Linked DNA regions of Drosophila melanogaster. The protein of the gene in region 3 purifies or fractionates together with the protein of the main gene of each other region. This does not show direct contact. Each region holds a gene or a part of one and is shown on either strand. Other genes may lie near its edges.

Evidence for each region. Proteins that work in one complex are often made in the same cells at the same time.
Region 1: the proteins of Syb (region 3) and HSPC300 purify together in Drosophila melanogaster (affinity purification with mass spectrometry, with the first as the bait; one large-scale study listed by BioGRID). This does not show direct contact.
Region 2: the proteins of Syb (region 3) and CG15098 purify together in Drosophila melanogaster (affinity purification with mass spectrometry, with the first as the bait; one large-scale study listed by BioGRID). This does not show direct contact.

What each region holds. Positions count from the first base shown.
Region 1 is NT_033778.4:24,025,579-24,031,374, reverse strand, and holds HSPC300 (haematopoietic stem/progenitor cell protein 300), read left to right. Parts: upstream 1-2,585; 5' UTR 2,586-2,640; coding exon 2,641-2,761; intron 2,762-3,250; coding exon 3,251-3,360; 3' UTR 3,361-3,658; downstream 3,659-5,796. Other genes in the region: CG30172 (uncharacterized protein), read left to right, coding at 210-405, 532-674; CG3163 (uncharacterized protein), read right to left, coding at 891-1,997; EbpIII (ejaculatory bulb protein III), read right to left, coding at 3,980-4,360; Ak2 (adenylate kinase 2), read right to left, coding at 5,728-5,796.
Region 2 is NT_033778.4:18,831,234-18,837,115, reverse strand, and holds CG15098 (uncharacterized protein), read left to right. Parts: upstream 1-2,340; 5' UTR 2,341-2,453; coding exon 2,454-2,640; intron 2,641-2,719; coding exon 2,720-2,805; intron 2,806-2,997; coding exon 2,998-3,151; intron 3,152-3,331; coding exon 3,332-3,465; 3' UTR 3,466-3,744; downstream 3,745-5,882. Other genes in the region: CG15083 (uncharacterized protein), read right to left, coding at 361-461, 538-700, 769-836, 1,604-1,724; CG15082 (uncharacterized protein), read right to left, coding at 4,001-4,326, 4,435-4,944, 5,816-5,870.
Region 3 is NT_033778.4:10,247,226-10,255,299, forward strand, and holds Syb (synaptobrevin), read right to left. Parts: upstream 5,193-8,074; 5' UTR 5,057-5,192; intron 4,948-5,056; exon of another isoform or gene 4,850-4,947; intron 4,760-4,849; 5' UTR 4,750-4,759; coding exon 4,703-4,749; intron 3,989-4,702; coding exon 3,654-3,988; intron 3,362-3,653; coding exon of another isoform or gene 3,345-3,361; exon of another isoform or gene 3,144-3,344; intron 2,603-3,143; coding exon 2,526-2,602; 3' UTR 2,210-2,525; downstream 1-2,209. Other genes in the region: CG12209 (uncharacterized protein), read right to left, coding at 1-5, 62-189; CG12914 (uncharacterized protein), read left to right, coding at 907-1,019, 1,087-1,237, 1,300-1,446, 1,496-1,633, 1,717-1,935; Csgalnact (chondroitin sulfate N-acetylgalactosaminyltransferase), read left to right, coding at 5,762-6,800, 6,915-7,051, 7,112-7,414, 7,476-7,619. UniProt on the Drosophila melanogaster protein: Involved in the targeting and/or fusion of transport vesicles to their target membrane.

The DNA of each region.
Region 1 (5,796 bases), about 14 Mb from region 3:
GCTATCATATACGAAAGATTGCCATGTATATAGAGTACGTGGCATCTCATCAGATATTCGGATTGTAATCACAGTGCTTAGCAATCATTACCCTTTCCGTGATTTTGCGAAGTCCAGCTCCTTTGCGCATGCACGAATATCTGCGGGATACAGATACACAGTTTCTGCTCCACATTCAGTTATACTATACCGTCTCGCGTTCAGAAAGGATGCTACTTTTAAATAAAAACCGAGTGATTTCTTTGGTCGTTAATTTTATTTTTCTTATCATTCTCATTTCATCGAGTGTCCAAGCGGATGAGAGAAACATTAACAAGCTGCTGAACAACCAGGTGGTGGTCAGCCGCCAGATTATGTGCATCCTGGGCAAGAGCGAATGCGACCAACTGGGACTTCAACTCAAAGGTAATAAACATATTCGTTTAATGTTCGTTCAGATACAACATCATTTTAAGTCCAAAGTTCTTTTCAAGTTCTTCGCCAATTGGTAAAGAGCCCAAAATGTAATTATTTCGAATTTGGTTCTTACAGCTGCCCTGCCAGAAGTTATAACCAGGAAATGCAGGAACTGCTCCCCACAACAGGCTCAAAAAGCGCAAAAGCTGACCACATTTCTGCAAACTAGATACCCGGACGTATGGGCCATGCTTCTAAGGAAGTACGACAGTGCCTAAATGGCATTTAAATGTTATTCTCATGCATCGAATATAATAAACTAGTCTCGACATCATTCCTAGCATTTGGTTTCGTAGCTTAGGGGATTTTCTAAGGATTAGGCGGCTGAAAGGAATCCCTCCTTTAAATAAAACATGGCTTTGTACACATGACTGTCTCTTTACATCTTATTATTACATAAACTCTAAAAGTACGTCTTTAAAGGGGCCAGGCCATCATTTACTGTGGCTCTCTAGGTAAACTGTTGCATTGTCCACGCCCATAAACTGGTGTATACTCAGCGAGGACAGCATTTTCATCTGGCCCTGGTACAGCACATCGGCGATGATCTTTTCCGCGTAGATAGCCTGTGTTCCGTCCATGGAGCGAAGCTTGTGTGCGATAATTTTCCCGAAGTTGGAGAAGTGGTCGTCCAGCTGGCTGTCCGCACTCTTTAGGGCCAGCGAAAAGAGGCGCTCAAAGTCAATGGTGGAAATGTCCGCTCGGAATTTACCTGGAGGCGGCTCGTTGTCCTCCGAAATCTGCGAAGAGACCGAGGAGGACCTTTTCCGTGTTATGTGATTGGCTTTCTGGCTCGGGCTCTGATTACTGATCAGTTTCGTTTGGTTCTGGGTGACGATGCGCTTGCACTGCGGCGATTCGGAGTCGCCAGGCGGAGACTTTATGGAGTCGGGCACGGATTTTCTGCGGGCGGACAGCAGCCTGTTGTTAGCAGGCACCACGATTTCGACCTCCTTGATAGTAGCGCCACTGGCATGGCTGTTGGCGTTGTTGACTGTTTTAATACTGATAACGGGGTCAGCGGCAGCGGCGGCGGCGGCCTCCTCGAAGATGTTGGCACAGAATTCGTTGGCGCTGTTGTTGGGTGACATCTTGATCGAGTCTGCCGTCGGCTTTGGGGGCTTGTGCAGGCTCTCGGCGTCGGAATACTCGTCGCCGTTCTCTGGCGCCCCTAGCTGCATGGAGTTGTCCAGGCAGACCGACTGCTCGCGCTTGAACTTCTTGTCGGCGGGGATCTCCTCGTCCTTAAGGAACATCAGGGACTCGAAGTAGCGGCGCTTGGGGCAGTAGGGCTCGTACTTCTCGCCCTTTTTCTTGACCTCGTTGTATTTCCTCAGCTGATGACGAAATGCACAGCGCAGATTGTTTATCTTTTGCTTTGTTCGCTCCACATTGTACATCTCCCCGTGCTTGGTGGCCACCTCGATGAGCTTCGCGTAGGCCTCCTGCCGGCGGCTGCGGTTCCTGAAGTCCGCCGAGTCCGCCTTCCACAAGCACGGATTGCTTTTGTATTCTTCGATGAAGTCGTCGATAAAGTCCATTTTTTGTTTACCAAATGAAAAACACTGTAGTTTACGGGGCCACCTAGTTTATCTATGTGTGCGTGTGCGTGAGTGGCATCAATAGCTATCGTTTCGCTCGGCTCATTCCGATTGGAACACGCGGAATCGGACCGCAAAATGGGTACATACTTTGCTGGTTTGCAGTAATTCCTTAATAAATATCATTTAAAACAATAAAACATCGAAAACTAACCCACGGTTAATATAAAATATAGCAAACGCAAATTCGAATATATCTATGTATATTGCGATATACAATTGTATATTGCGGCGATAAGTTTCTTTATATATTCGGCTGTGTCTACCCCAATACTTTTATTATTTACCTTTATTTTATTATTCATATTTACACGCTATAGTTGGCAGACAAAAATATTAAGTTATTTCTTTCATCGCACTTTCCCGCGTAATTTTTAAATAGTAGTGCTTAGGGAGTGTTGTAAAACACCATTAAAATTTCTTGTTGGAGTAAAAATTTGATCTCAATGAATCACGGTGAACACGGTAATTGTATGCCTATCGATAGTTCCAAATTTTTGACAATAATTGTTCCGGCCCAACCCATCTCTCATCTCTAGATAAACACAATTAAAACGAACAGAAACAATAGGAATAAATAAAGATGAGTGGGGCTCACAGAGAGGCGATCCAAAAGCAGATCCACCAGGACTGGGCGAACAGGGAGTATATCGAAGTGATAACTGCCAGCATAAAGAGAATCACCGACTTTCTGAACTCTTTCGGTAAGCAACCTGCATACGAAGCACCCACTTCCCTCTGACGCATGTGTGTGTGCGCGTGTTTATTATCACTTCCTTTGTAGGTGTGGGTGAACGCATAAGTAATATTACTAACAAATATTCATCAGTGACAATGACTTTATTTACTCAAGTCTTAAGTCTATAGAAACAAACAGTGGTTTGTGCGTGGTGGCATATATGTATAGCAATATATGTATCTACATACATATGGAAATGTATGTATGTAACATCATCGGAGGGCTCAAAACGAAAATTCGGCTTTATCTCTATCCGAATTAGTCACCTAAATGAATTGGATAAGCTTTTTCGGTTGCTCTATGCATAATTTAAGATACGCTAAATACTGTGATAAATGATAAGCCAAAGAGTGCGAGGTAGTTGGGTTGCTAAAATATCCCATATCCTTAATAGGGTTTATGTACACTGTTGGCATTATAAACTGTATCATCGTGTGCTATCATATCCTTTCAGATATGTCCTGTCGCTCCCGTCTGGCGGTGCTGAACGAAAAACTAACGATCCTGGAGCGGCGCATAGACTATCTGGAGGCGTGCGTCGCCCAGGGTGAAACATTAACGTAAACGCTGCCCACAACCTTATACTAAGCTTTGTACATTTATAAGTAATTAAAATACTGATTTAATATTTAATATCTTTTGATTCGCAATGTGAATTGCCGTGACATTAATAATTCGCTGTACATTGTTTGTTTGTTCTTTGAAGGAAGGTTTTCACGGCTGAGTTACTTGCGGCCATCGGATTCGATTCATTGCCCCTTTTAAGAATAATATAAGTAATAGCTCAGAACCAAGACAAGCACGCGATGTTTTTGCCAACTAACCGTAGCTGCCTTTATTGTCAATGTTAATGCAAATCGCCCGCCATATATAAGCCGCTTATTAGGGTCTAGTCGTAATCTTGTGAATGTTTTTTCTAAGACCTTAATTGTGCTTAGATTAATCATCGTTCTAGTAGCAGGAGGCTAGACTTAAGTGCTACATTTGTCATAGTTAATTTATATACTCTCTGAAGCCTGGCAAATCCCCCTTCGATAACGATATAATACTCGGCAGGTGTATGGTAAAAAAACAAATCTCTTTATTCCGAGCACGATCGTAGAAATAATTTTGATGATCAGATATAAGCGTAGACCTAATTAACAGTGCATATAACCAAGAGTTTCCGGAACCGGGATCCGCCTTACACCTTGATTCCCGAGGCCTCGGCGGTGGCGCGGTAGCGCTTGATGTAGATCTCATCGGGATCGTACTTGGCCTGCAGCTGCTTCCACTCCTCGGGCTTGTTTTCGATGATGTAGCGAATGACCTTGTCGGTGTTCTGGCGCTGCTTCTCGCTGCACTTGCTGCACTCCGTCTTCAGGGCGTCCGGCAGGGACTTCTTGAGCTCCCGGCCCTCCGGGGTGCACTTTCCGTTGTCCACCAGGCACTTGAAGTAGTTTCCGAAGAGGCGGTCCGACTTCAGGATCTCGTCGACGTCGATGTTGTCGTACTTGGTGGTGTACTTATCCTCGGCGGCGACCAGCACCAGTCCAAGGACGACAAGCGCAAGTATCATCTTCATCTTGGAGTTTTCTGCGGGCGAATTGGGGTAAGTATGTTTGTACGATTAATCAGCACTTTTGTGGCTTAGTGGGTCTGTTGGTCGGGCAACCAGTTTTGTGCGCAGGGGATTTTACTGGGCAATGGAAAAATATTTTTACTAGCCATCGAGCGCGACTGCATTCGCAAAATGTATCTGTGGACTTATGGGATTTGTATGCAAATTAATGCACAGCCAGGCAGGCCACTTTGTATGCGTATCTGAAACACATTCGCTGTCTGAAAAGATGTCACTGTTTATACACAATGAAACTGGTTGCCCGTCTGGCTGCGTCCATGAGTGTGTGGACTACTACCAGCCACCAGTCGACCAGCCGAGCCGATCGGCTCCAAAAACTATAAACGGTGCGGTGGTCTTACAATGGGGCTCGACTTGTGGGGCGACTCGGAGCGAATAGATGTGAAGCAATTCAGCTGCTGGAACTAACTGAGAAATGTTTCTATGAAGTGGGCTTTTATACCTGGGCCCACTTTTTACCTGGGATTGAACTTCAAGTGTAATACACAACACAAACCGCGCGCTGTGAGCCTGTGTTCGAGCTCGGCTCGTATCCATACGGGATTGCACACACTTTAGACTTTGAAGCGAAAATCGCTATTGCTGAAAAGTCAACCCAGTGATTAGTCAATCGTCGTTATAAATTTATATAATATATGTGCGATAGTTATACACACTTAAATTGACATTAACATTAGGCAGGTGACGTCTGAGTACTAAACGGCGATCGAAAGTCGCTCTGCGAGAGATTCGCAGCCACGATGGACGGGCTAACTTGGCGATATGTTATTTGTTTACCAGATTTAACGATCTCATTAGCGATTTCCATTAGCAATTTCTCATTTGTTACACTTGAGACCCGTGCAACATGACCCTTTAATAGTCGCTTTAAAGTTGATTGCAATAATAAATAGTTCTCGGAACAATTAGTAGCTATCCATCAAACGCTAAAAACCTCGATTCGAAACTGAGTCAGCCGCATCATATTCCAGAAGCTTTCCGGAAAACAATTGTGTGGAAGTTTGAACTTGGCGTCGTCCATCCCTCATTCGAACGCAGCCCAGTTTAAAGCAGTCATGTCTCGTAAAATGTACTTGTTTCCTTCGATTTTTTTATTAAATTGTATTGTAGTTACAAATAGTGAAATGTAAAAAGTAACAAACACATACACTTTAGAAATCTGTACAAGGAAAGTAGTCGACCTGCAAAGGTAATTTCGTTTGTTCAGGATTTCCGGATGCAACTATAACTTTAGGCTTAAACGTTGTGTGTGTCTCGAAATAAATTGTCAGGAGGCAGTTATCAGTAGTTGATCATTGCGCAGGAACAAATCATAACTGGATCTGGGCAGGACGCTTGCGTTGGAATATAGAGTCGATGGTGGAGAAGACGTCGCTGGA
Region 2 (5,882 bases), 8.6 Mb from region 3:
AACTTTCCATTTTATGTCTAAGTAAGCAGATTGGAGCAGAAGACGATGCCGAGTATGATAGCTAGCTATATAGATAGAGAACTGTGTCGAGAGTATATAATTGTCCGTAGTGTGATCGATCGTTTTAAATGTTGAATGTTTAAGAACGCGGTAGCCCAATAGCCAATAGCACCCTGTATGTATATGTATGTAACCAATGTATTTAACTGTTGATAGTTGATCCCAAGTCGATGTGAGTAAGAGATGTGCGTTAACGACAAACTGCAATCAAATAAAAAACAAAGCATTTTATTGCAAACACTGAGATGAACGAACGGTGGGCTCTTCCCCGACAATTTATGTAGTGTAGAATGATAAGGACTAAACCACATTCATGGCGCGCGGTGTTTGTTTGCTGGCTTCGCTGTTTTTCAGCTGGAGGTAGAAGGAGTACACAATTCGTGCGCTGAAGAGGATCAATACTGAAAGTGTAGCGGAGAATATGTATGATCTGTACATTTTTGTTAACTCAATTTGATGTTCATAGCCGATACTTACGAAATGTGATGATGTAAACGAGCAGGGCACCGAAAACGTTGTTCATTCCGGTAGCCTCGCGATATCCTCCGTAGTGGAAGATAACCCCGAAGACGGCAAACGGAAAGGAGATGGCTTCAATGGCAGCGAAGATCAGCCAGACGAACACCAGAATTGGCTTTTCCTGCAATTCGGAAAGGTAGATTGGGTTTCGTTGACTCAATAAAACGGAATGGGTTGTATTTTATTTACCTTCAGGGTTCCTATCAATAAGCAAATATTGGCGACTACTACGATGGCAAATCCAATAAAGGTAAGAACTGCAAGGATTCAAGTGAATTTAAATAGAAATTATTGAACGTACATATTTCATTCATAAAAAAAGCCGTTACAATTAGTGGAAAGTAAACATAAACTTGGGCTTATAAGTGACTCAATGTATTCCAAGCAAAACGTTGCTGTGCTCTTATCTTTCTTCCCGTCTGAAATTTGAGAACACGACTGCTAAATGTATCTTCGTATATAATGAGTACATATTGATGCACTGATGCACTTCATGTACATGTGTACATATACATAAAGAACTAAAACATAAATTCTTCTTTTATATTTTAAACACATTTCATACATGAAATATGACAAACTTTTTAAAACAGCTTAGAATAAGGTTTATAGAACTTCTTTGAGACATGGACAAATGCAGGGCTTTAAGTGTTTTTATGACATATGGCGTTCAACTGTTAAAACCCAATAATCTTTTAAGTTTAATTCTGCGCCATGCACAGCCCAAGGAAATTATTTAATTTTCTTTTTTGTGCTGGAAAATTCAAGCCTGTGAGAAAATGGCATTTCGGGCCACCTAAAATGAATTGTCAGCTCGAATTTGTCGGCGATGTCGTCATCGATGGTGAGGTGTTGTATCCAAAATGGTTGTGAATTGGAACGCGTTTGTGTCGAATGGATTAGCTCATTCGTTTATTTCGCATGTGAACATCATGAATGTATTGTCTCTCTATGGAAATAGCGTCAGTCTGGGCAATCAGCTTCTGAAAATAAACAAATGCCACGCCTCTCGCATTTCTCCTACCGTTTGGAGCGAATATAACGTTGAAAGTCATGCTCAATAGCCAATAGATCGCGATTCCCAGGCACCAGCTCCGCAAATCGGTATTGCACGGGCCATTTTCCACCGTCAGATCGATTTTCATTTTGAAACTCTGTGGTTTACAGCGAATTTTCCAAATACAAATATGGCTAGTATGGCACTTAAACCGGTTTGGGAACACCTAGCGCACGGAAACACAACCGCACTGGGCAAGAATCAAATAATAAGTGTGGCGCAAATGCCGATGCCGCTCAGAAGAAACGGTTGCGTAAACTATGCAACACGAAAATACTTTTTTTTCGAGCGTGGAAAAACTACGTCTGATATGTTCTTAAAAAATATATGTGCACTCATTTACTATATGAATTTGTTTGCATATGTTTCGTCATTTAAGAGTGAAATGAATAAAATGGGGAATTGTCTTTAAAATAATAGAGAGATTTAATGCTGTATTATATATGTAATGTAGCTACTATTAGCACCTTGAAAAATATTATGAAAGTAAGCCGCTGCTGTGCAGTGTTAATGAATACATAAATAAATATTTTTTAACTATCATGCCAAATAATAAATGCATAAAAATATTTAAAATATAAAAATGTTATTAAAAGAATTTTAAACAATTAGCGTTAAAAAGTCACATTAAAAGCTGGTGAACAAGTCACAGTTTCGACACCAACTGCTTGAACCAGTCTGGCAACGCCGCTGTACCCAAAAGCTTTTAATTGTCAGCCAATTGCGACTTATCAAGCAATTGCAATTTTGCTGCGCCGGCGAACTGAAGTAAAATTGTCTTTATCTTCGCATTAGCACGAAATCAAGTGAATCCAGAATGCTGTCCAGGGTCTTCTGTATGCGCCTGAACACCTATGGTGTGGTCATTGGATGGCTGGGCGTGATTCTATCCTTCTTGGCCACGATCCTCTTGTCCTTGGCCCTCGGATTCGTCGATGAAATTGCGCAGCAGATCGCCAAGGGATCGGAAGATTCTAACAAGACGGCCACCGAGATTCGCAGTGGTAAGGGCTAACCATCGAGTGCACCCACAACCAATCGTATATTTTTTATTGTATTTCATTGTTCTTGCGGTTATTGCAGTGCTAATCATCGTTTTCAGTGTTTACCTGGCGCTCAAGGTGATTAATCTTCTGGCTTCGGCCATGTTGGTTGCAGGTACCGTTAAGGTAAGTCTAGTATCAATATGCAATCTGTACAATCGCGTATATATGTGTCTACTATAGTACATATCTAGAGTTAGACCTTTTTAAAAGCCCACTATTCTGTAAAAAAAACCGGCAAGTTTCTTTGCAAATACATATGTACATACACCATACTAACTAGAGATAGAGATGGTTCTAATAGCGTTTGCCTTTCAGGAACGCCATTTACTCCTGCTGCCCTGGCTGATCAACAATGGAGTGCTGCTTGTCTTTGGAATTATCACCAATATTGCAATGCTGGCCCAGATCATCGGAAATACATCTTTCCTGAGCGCTCTTCCAATCATTTTCGTGGATGTTGGCCTGCTCTGTAAGTGACTCACCACTTCATACATACATAAGCTCTATCTGGAAATGGGTATACACAATACACACTGGCCGTTGTTGCGAAATTGTGGATCCCCATTGCGCTTATCGCTCGACGGTCTGCGATCGTTCTATAATTGCGCTTGGGCACGATGCTTATTTTTCTCCATTCGCTCGTTTTCAGTGCTGACCTGGTATCTCTACTACGGCATCTACTCGCTCTTCAAGCAGATCCAGGCATCCCGTGAGATCCAGCGCCCGCTGATCCCACAGCCGACCCAGCAGACCAACTCCTATCCCAGCTACACCAAGATTTAAGCTCCAGTGTAGCTTCCCGTTTGGCCAGCTCTTATTTCATCATATCCCTTTTCGAATGTTTCCAATGGGGCTTCCCCGATAAACCCAATATTTTTCTAGCTAGTAGCACCAAAATTATATACTACGTTGTATTTCATGCATCAGAGAATGAAAATCTGTGTGTACATCATATATATTTACATTAACGCGATTGTGTCTATACGTATATCCAAACGAAATGGCCAATACAAGATTTTTCGATTGGCTGCAAAAAAAAAAATATATATTTTTTATATAAATAATCAAATGGAAAATTATTTAGGGGCTTGGTTTACGCTTCTTGTTGTAATGTTTGGAGATGCTACTATTATTTGTTTGTAATTCGAAAATGTTAATACATACCATTCCTTAAAACTTAACACACTGTGATAGGCTTTCAAACATATATTTCTACACACACAGAGGGCATAAATTAAATCGAATCTTGGGGCGGCATTCGTTGCAGCTACTTAGGTAACTATTGATGGGCCATTCTGCTGCTCCGGCGGTCTCACTGTCATTTGCCCAGACCCAGCCACATGTAGCTGGGATCAATGAACTGGGAGCCGCGGTATCCCTGCGGATTGCGCGACACCAGCGATCGGATCTTCTGGGAGGGCCTGTAGCTGCGCAGGGCCTGCAGGAGCTTCGATGTCTTCCGGTCGTGCTCCTGCTTCTGCTCGGAATCCTCCGGAGCGTCGGGCGGCACGGGCGGCAGGTGCAGTGGGTGCGGGTGTTTACCCTCCAGCATACGCGTCTCCGACTCACCCAGTTGCGATTGCTCCGCGAAGCGCAGGTTCGCTTCCAGGCGGTTGAAAAAGCCGCCCAGATTGGTCATGGCTCCTGGAATGTAGAACGAATGTCACTAGCAATGGGTTCATTGGTTAAGGATTAAATCCGCTTTAAATTAAATCAAAGAATCCAAATCCTATCCAATACTCCATTACTCACCAGCACTGATCGAGGGCATATATCGGAGTGAGTCCGGAACCTCCTTTCGTTTCCAGGGCAAGGTGTAGGCGTAGGGGTACGTAAGCGGTGGCTCCTCGTCGTCGGGTGGCCAGTTGGCGGGATCCCTCTTAGCCTTGACTTCCGCAAGTGGAGGAACCGGAGATTGCCACTTGTGCTGCACCTGCAGCTGCTTGCTGCGATGCTGGAGGTGCCACTGGCGACCGAACAGCGTAGGATACGGGTCGAGATAGCTATCTCCGAATTGGTTATCCATTTCCGTTTCACTGGTTTTCGGCGGGGCATTTCCGCCATCGAAAGGGTAAAAGTTGTCCAAGGTGCGTGACGTCATCGGCGCGACCGACTCCCTGCCCTCGCTTCCAGCGAAATCCCAGTCCGGATCCAACTTCCAGTTTCGGTCCCACTCCGGCGGAATTTGACGGTCACGAGCAGTTGTTGGTGATGTCGCTATCGCCACCTGTGCACCGCCGAAAGGTGCGTTTCGTAGTGGACCTGGCGGTGGAGAAGCATATCGGCAGACGGGCCCATTAATTGTGTGTGCTCCCGCAGGATTTGGGGTAGTCACTTGGGTACAAACAGGGTTGGCTTCGCCAAAACTACATGACATCCAATTTCCGCTAGTGCCCTACAGATTTTAATTAGTGATAGGCGCAATGGCGGCTAATAAAAGGTCAGGTTTCAATTTAGAACAATTGCCGAGAAATGAAAAATTGCCGAAAATGTGAGATAGTTACGATAAAGTTTGCCCCATGGAATTGATGTCATATCTTCCGTTTAATTTCATAAGCAGGGAAGAACAACTAACTAGTTGTCGTAGTAAAATGTATTAGTCTCAGTTTAAGTTTATAAGCTATTTAGTTTTAATTGTTTTTTAGATTGGATAAAAAGTAGTTAAACACAGTATAGCATAATTAAATAACTCTTTGTGCATTACATATACTTTTAAATTGGAAATTTTTTGATTTGATTTTTGATTTGATTTACTTAAACAAACATCACTATTATTAATCTCTTTTAATGGGATCAAAAGAACTTCGGTTGATTCAGAGACGGATAAATTGGAAAAACGAAGATTTCTGCCATTTTTAAATGGCTATAACGTATAATCGTAGTTTATGCACCTATTAGGCATCTTCAATTGTGTTTTCAATTAATTAAATTTTAAGATTTTTAAAGAGCAGAATGGAATGTTTTTTTTGAGAAAAGGCTCTCTTTTTCTATAAATTTTGATTTTACTTGTGATCTATGATATACTTAAGATTCCAAATTCCTACAACAATAATCATGATCTCAGCTACTTTAGCTAGTATCTTTGAAATGTTTTCTGCCCAATTTCACAAACTCTTGGAACTGATGGACTTACCTGCAAATAGCAAAACCATAAGCAGAATCCGTCGCCTCATCACCAGGTGCGACATTGTGTGGCTGAT
Region 3 (8,074 bases):
CCGATCTGAAAGAACAGCGGTTACAGCGGTAAAGAACCCCAAACTCAGCTGCCCAACTCACATCAGGCTGACCAGGAGCCATTGCAAGATAGCCAGGACCATCCAGGCTATGGTCACCATGTAGACGACGCAGGCAAACTTTCGGCGGGCCCGCCGATATGCCCGCATTCTCTGGCGGCGGTCCTCCATGGCGGTGTGGGCGTGGCCCGGGTATCGTGTTGGAGTATGGAATTCAGTAACAAACGATAACTAATTTCAAACCTAATGGAGAAGTCCAGGCCACTCTGATATGTGAAGCTGGGTGGCCAGCAACCACTGCGATGAAAGATACCCACTACACCAAGATATTTAATTCTATTAGTAAACTCTATTAGTTCACTAAATATACTCTGCGCACTCAGAAGAAAGAAGCATGTATAGTGAAAATACGAGCATACGATTCAATTATTTTCAGTTTTACATTTTAAAAGCAAGCACGCAATTCTATGGTCACCTATATGCTCACCTTTTTCAATGATTATAGTGACTTGATTTCAAAAACTAGTTCAAAAAATGTATGTTTTATCATAGATATCTAGGGTTTTGTAGGAATACTTTCAATGAATATAAAATCATTCATTGCAAAATGTAAAATGGGAGTTAGGCAGTTACACAACATACAGAATTCGCAAAATTTTTGTATGGCCGTACTTTGCTGGTCATTTACGTGCCGCAAATGAGTTTTCACACCTCAAAACCAACCGGAAGGTAACGATTAACGGACCAATCCAACCTACCGCGATCCCGCTGGCGGACAGAACAGTTGGCATTTATTTTTCTGATAGTTTGATGTTTTTCTCATAAATTTAGATGTGAATCGAAACAAGCCACTCCAAATACAGTTTCAGAACTAGAGCGTCTGTACATATGTTGCGCGAAAACCCCCCACCGCGCCAAAAGAGTTGGGTGGGACCCACGTACAGAGTAACCATAATTATGCTCGTCATCGGACAGATTCAGGTCTCGGTGGCGATGGAGATGTGAGTAGTGATCCATGCTCTTGCCCTGCGGCTTTTGACAGACCTTTCAATTGCTCCTCTTTTTCAGCACTCCCCTGAAGGAATTTCTCGCAGATCGCTACTACCTCAGTCTCGTGCAATTTGTCGTCAGCTTCCTATCCATCCAGCTCTACGGATTTTTCTACCACATAATCGTTAAAAAGCCTATGTGGGTGCGGTTATTGGCGGGCCTCTGGACGGTAAGTACATGAATGATCTCAACTGATGGTGTCCATTTCGAATGACCTCTTTTGATCTGCAGTACGAGGTGAACACCATGTCGATCATGAAGCCCGCCAAACGTGCCCCTTATATAAGCCTCATCCTGTCAATCTTCCTAACATTCCTTATGATGATCATCAGTGTGATATACGGAAATAGTGCCATCAAACACAAGAAAGGCCTTTTCGTAAGTGAAGAACTTGTTGACCCGCCGACACTTACCTCCTTTACCACAGACTACCCGGCATAAGGTTATCCTGTGGAGCGAGCGCATATTTGTCCTCACCTGCTTTGGCATCATCGTGTGTGCCGAGATGAAGCGTGTTATCATAGAGTTTCCAACCCTGCTAGTATACACCATTCTCTCGAGCGTGGTAAGCCTCAGGGAAACGAAACGATACACCTACTTTCCCATTTTTAAAATAACGACACAGTATTCCTCCAATTTTGCCCACAGTTTGTCATAGTCTTTGGCGCTTCCATGCGAAAGCCGAACTTCTACCGCCAGGAGTCGACCGGGGACTACATACTGATCGGCCAGCTGTACTACCTCAACTTTTTTGCCCTATATATGGGCTATGTGTGGACGACAGCCTCGTTTATAGAATTGATGGGATGGCGCGCGGACATTCATGATATATTCGTGTACCTGTTCTATCGGAAGAACATCGAATGAGTGGAACGCATGCGTGGACTATCGGAACAGCTGGGACAGAATGTTTATGCGAGACGATTCAGTTCCTGCGGCAATTGGTCAGTGCCTCGATGTCGATGGGGCAAGTTTGTCTGGGTGCCCGCGACTGCTGTCGTCTTGTTTCGATTCGGTTTGCCGGAAAATCGATAACTGTTTCCATGGCACGCGCATCTTAAGCAAAAACGCTGAATGTAAATAAATGGCTCTGTCCGCGAAACGTTTCCATAAAACTTCGGTGGACTTGATGGGTCCGGTTAAAGTGTAGGTGGCATGATGTATTTTCAATTGGATGATATACACGTATATATAATTGTATATAATGCAATACACATTAATGGGACCTCTGGTCTCGGCTACGACACGTAAAAATGTTAAGTTTAACATTAAGATTTAATAATTACATTCTGGTTAAATATATGCTAGACGCAATTTTAGTAAGTTATCCTTTTGATTTTCTTCATCTCCCCTTCTCTCATTGCGCGAAAAGACCAGAAAGGTTTCCGTCCCAGTTGTGTTTGTTTGGTCCTTTTCCATTTCGTATCCATGTGTTTACCTCACTCCCTAGGAGGCCTTTAGTGCGGCGGTGCTTGGGTGATGGCCTTGTTTCCTCCACCACTGCCGCTGTCACTACTAGACGGCCAAACGGACACTAAAAAGGGAAATACGCAGATATTAGAGCTATGTTTATATCAATTCAACGAGATATGAAAAGGATTTCATATCCTATCTCGCATTTAAATGAAATCGCGGTCTTTTTAAGTAAAAGTTCTAACCACCCAGCACATTGTACTGAGCGTTTTGTTGACGAAAGATTTCTTCAGTTATTTATTAATTAACAACTTTTAAAGTCAGATTTTATCTTCCCGCTTACTATCTTACATACCTTTCGATGTCAGCACGGATTTCGTATTGTCATTCTTATTTAATACTTTTTACGCGAGTTTAATTTGAATAAAATCGAAATGACTTTTTAAAATGAAATTTCTCCATAGAACAGAGCCCTAGCCCCAACATTGCACTGTAGATATAACCATTTTTAACTTCTTAATAGCTTTGCTGAAGCTATATACATATGTATGAACTTTATAGTCTACACACGTATGACATGGAGGTTCTAATCTTCGCACACTACAGACTAAACAAATATAACGATAATTAACACTTAGGACAGGCACAAGAACAACAATTACCTTTAGAGCTTTAGAGTTGCTTAGCTTAAGACTTTTATAAAATATAATAAACAATTTAAGGAGTATATAGTAGGAGCCAGTACACGTACACAAACGTGTTAAACGATTAATCTGAACCTTAACTTTGCTGATTGGGAAACGGAATTACATGATTTTTGTTGGCTTTGCTTTTGTTTTTCTGTGAGTGTGTGTTTAATTGTATCAATTGAAAAGCGACACTGCAAGTAAACAGAAATTCACAAGGGGTTGTCATCAGTACGAGTAGGAGTATCTGTTATTGGATTAGTTAGCTGCAAGCCACATGGACAAGTTGTTAGGACCGAAACCACAGGTTGAGCAAGATTAGGGCGTTTGCAGGGCGTCGACTTGCGTTATAGATATAACAATACCAAACCAAACCAGCCACCTAGCTACACTACTGATCTTTAGCCTGATCGAGAAAAACCGCAACCAGAAAGAAGCACCAGCAAGAGGCAAAAAGCCGAAGCGGTATAAAATCGGTTAGCTTACCCAGAACGATGATGAGCAGCACAACGGCTATCACGCCCAGAATGATCATCATCTTCATGTTGGCCCACCATTGCTTGCGCTTCAGCTTGCCGGCCTGCTGCTCGAACTGGGATGCTCCCTGCTCCAGCTGATCCGCACGCTCGCCCAGTTCCGATAGCTTCTGGTCCCGCTCCAGGACCTTCTCCACGTTCACACGCATAATCCCGACCACCTCGTCCACCTTGGCTTGGGTCTGCTGCAGCTTCTTCTGGGCTGCATTGTTGTTCCTGATTTGATGGTCACCGAATTGATTGTAGTTGTCATTCGCGTTCGGCGGTGGCGGAAGTATGGGAAAACTGTACAATATTATGTGTGTTTGTGGGGGTTGCTTACACTTATTAAGAGCAGCAGATGGATCATCAAGCTGCAACGCACAAAAGCACGAGTCTTGGTATATCATGCCATCGTTATCTATGCCAATTCACCTTTCACGTTTTAATAATGGGACTTGTGTCCTATAAATACTTTCTTTCTTCTTAAATTCGGATAGACTAATAAAACTTCACAATCTCAAGTGCTGTTGAAATTCCATTGACAAAAAAAAATATAAAATGAGTAATATTCATTTGTTTTTCATAGATGTTAAATGAAACATACTTAAGTATGTTCAGTTACCATTTGCGATAAAGTGATTAATAAGCAAATTCTGTTTCTGATTATAAGCTACTTGCAAATGTTTTACAATTTAGAATCGAATATAATTAATACTTTTTTGTTATTCGAGTTAATTTGCCATTTCACATTAATATTCCATCTAAGATAGCAACTGACTTTACAATATCTCAACTTAACTGAATGCTTTTAATGACCCTAATTGATTTCAAACTACAACTGAAGCTACCGCTTGGGCAGCAGCATGACGTTTACGGTATTCCAATGTCCGAAAGTGAAGTCCGAAGACTTTACTTCCGGTTCGCTGTGGCCCATATGACTCAGGTGACGTCACTGTATGGGATTTTCCTTGCTTTTGTGCGCTGAGCCTGTTGATTCGATGGATTTCCACCACTTACTCGTTGTTGTTGGATCCCGAGGGGGAGGGGGCTTCGTTGTTCTCCATTGTGAATTTGCTGCGGAAAGAAAGCGAAGCAGAGAAAGGCCTTTATTGGATGTCTGGTTCTTTAAATGGGGAGAATGCATGTTCCATCACACACACACACCCGAAATTGTTTAGATTACAGGGCCGAAAAGAAAAGAAAACAAAACGCAGCACACGCCTTATCTATTCGGCCTATGAATCACTCGATTTATAGGAATGCCATCACCTTTGCTCGAAAAAAGAACTTGTTGCATGCCGCACTGCCAACAAACGCTGTTTACATGGGTGGAACGCCACCCCCAACCACCCACCACCCCCGAGCACTCACCTTGACAATGTGCCTGTAGAATACTGCTGTGTATTTCGGGTTTTCCACGGAAAACTGCGGCTGCTTTTTAAATAGCACTATTTTTTTTTATAGAAATATCAGCTTGTGATCAGTGTGACCGTTGAACTATTAGAGCTGGAACCAAGCCCGATACCTTATCGATACTATCGATGTTTCCTGAAAACCCCTTGCAAATATAAAAAGATAATACTTATCTAGCTTATAAAAAACATGAATTGGTATATTTAGTATGTGTATCGGCGCACAAATTATTGTTAACAAGCACTTGCATTCCATTTTTCTTTAGTTCCTTGCAGATGATGTTTGATTTCAAATCAATGTCTTATATTATTGTATCTTATTTTATTACTTAAATTACCAGTGCCGCAAGCCAAAATGAAATTTTTGTTTGCTCTTAACTGATTTATCTTTAATACTTTTACAAAAGATCAGCGAAAATTATTAATAACGCACTGTTGCCTAAATAGCAGAGACAAAAACCAATAAACTGTTCTACCGAGCCATGTACATGTATAATATGTAATAAAAATGTAGAATTCCACAGCAATGTATAAAATTTGTGATAATTCGTTACTAGTTTTTTTTACAGTCTCAAATGTGTGTTTGCATTTTACTATTGCACTTAGATAACTAATTATTTTATTATTTTCAATAGGTTGAAAATTTTGTAAGAAACTATGGAAAATGCATAACTCCCTGGTGACCAAGTTGCTGCTGCGGCTTTTGCTGCTCTTCGCCTTGTTGACCGGCGCCTCCATTGTGGTGCTCACAAAGTGCGGATTCGATGAACTGACGACGAGGGAAACTCAAGCCAATAATCCGAGTGAATCCAGCGGATTCAGTTACACCTTAAGCGAACGAGAGGCGGAAATTGAGCGGCTGAAACAGGAAGTCCTGGCTCTCCGCACTCAAATCCTCTTTCTACAGAATAATCGCAGCACTGCCAAGCCATCAAATGGCAGTCTTCAATTGCAAGAAACCACCGCGGGGCCACCAACTGCACCACTGGGTCACCATTACGACTGCAGCAGCTATATTCGCAAGCAGGTGGGCGCCGCAGAAATTCTGCATGGACTGCCGCTGAACAACGAGTACGAGCTGATACCCTACAATCACTTCACCTTCACGCGAGTATATCCCATCGACTTGGGCCTGGGAAAGCGCGTGGTGGAGAAGCCCATCGGTTATCGACGACGTGACCTCATCGAGGCGGTAAACAAGGCGCTGGAGAGCCTGAACAGGAATCACTCAGCGAGAATACGAGCCAAGGGAGCTGGTTCTGCAGCGGCTTACGCCTCGGATGTGATCAAATACACCCTGGATGACTTTATCGAGGGCATATACCGCAACGAACCCACCACAGGCACCCAGTACGAGCTGTACTTCCAGAGTGTCAAGCACCAGGCGAGTCCAGTGCGGAGAGCCCTGGTCATGCGACCATTTGCTCCTCTGCAAACGGTGCAGCTATCGGAGCTATCTTCCAGTGTGGATAATAGTGGTGCCCCTCCAAGTCATAGTCCGCCCATAATCCACGTGATACTACCGCTGGCTGGACGTCTGCACAGCTTTCGCGGCTTCCTGCAGATGTTCGCCAAGCTAGAGGATCGTCGCCTGGAGCTTATTGTGGTGTACTTTGGAACCAGTGGATTGGAGCAAGCTAGGAGCCTGGCTGGACGATCCCAAAGGACTCAGTTTTTGGCACTCAATGAGACTTTCAGTAGGGGTAAGCACGGGTTTCGTTTATTAATATTACATTTGTTTCGTTCATAATACATATGCAAGTTTATAATGCATTACAAATAATATTGGTAGTTAATAATAGCCATTTTGCTTATAGCCAAAGCTTTAAGACTGGGAGCGGAGCACATTCAACCCGCTGAGGAGGACGTGCTGCTCTTCATGTGCGACGTGGACATTATGTTCACGACCAAGTTCCTGGAGCGTTGTCGCTGGAATGCAGCGCCTGGAAAGAAGGTAAATATATCTGCTATTATTTAAATTACTAATACATTAACATCTATTTTCAACGCTTAGGTCTACTACCCCGTCGTATTTAGCCTGTACAATCCGCATGTGGTGTACTCACTGCAGGGCAAGCCCTTGCCCAGCGAAGAGGAGCAACTGGTGATATCGAGGGACACCGGTTTCTGGCGGGACTTTGGCTACGGAATGACGTGCCAGTACCGCTCGAACTTCCTAAAGGTGCGCGGTTTCGACGAGGAGGAGATTGTCGGTTGGGGCGGCGAGGATGTGATGCTATACCGAAAGTATGTTCGATCAAAAATCAAGATAATCAGGGCCACCGACCCGGGAATCTTTCACCGCTGGCACACCAAGGTACTGTTGTATGCAACGAATTTCAGCCCATTTGCACTACCGAGTTCTCTCTTTTACACAGATCTGTTCCAGTTCCCTGACAGCCGATCAGTATCGGGCCTGCATTCGATCGAGGGCCTTGAATGAGGCCTCGCACGCCCAACTGGGATTCCTGGCTTTCCGGGATGATATAGCCGCGGCTAATGCGGCAAAGATGACATCGTGATACTCGACTATTCCCCATGTATCCCCAATCGCTTGGCTTCTCTACTTAAGTGTGTGTGAATGGAGAGCAGTGATATAGTTGAAATGTCTAGGGTTTTCTAACAATTATAGCTTTTATTCCATTTCGTTTTATTATAAAATTGAATTGTGATTTCATTTCTATCGCTAGCAGTATCAGTATTCTCAATGATATCTATTGTTTTAGATAGAATATACAATATTGTGATATCTATTTTATGCTTCAGTTATGTCAGTTATTAAAATCAGTTTTAATGGAAAGGAGCACTGCCACTCAATCACACATGCAAACTCACGTACTTACTGTAGGCTATAAAGTATGTACAACTTGAGACAATAACTCGTATTTAGCAGAATCGTTGAATTAGCTTAATTGTTGATCTTATTGCGCCCTCAAGGGAGCCACAACCACACAGAGATGAAGATGATGTCAAATCG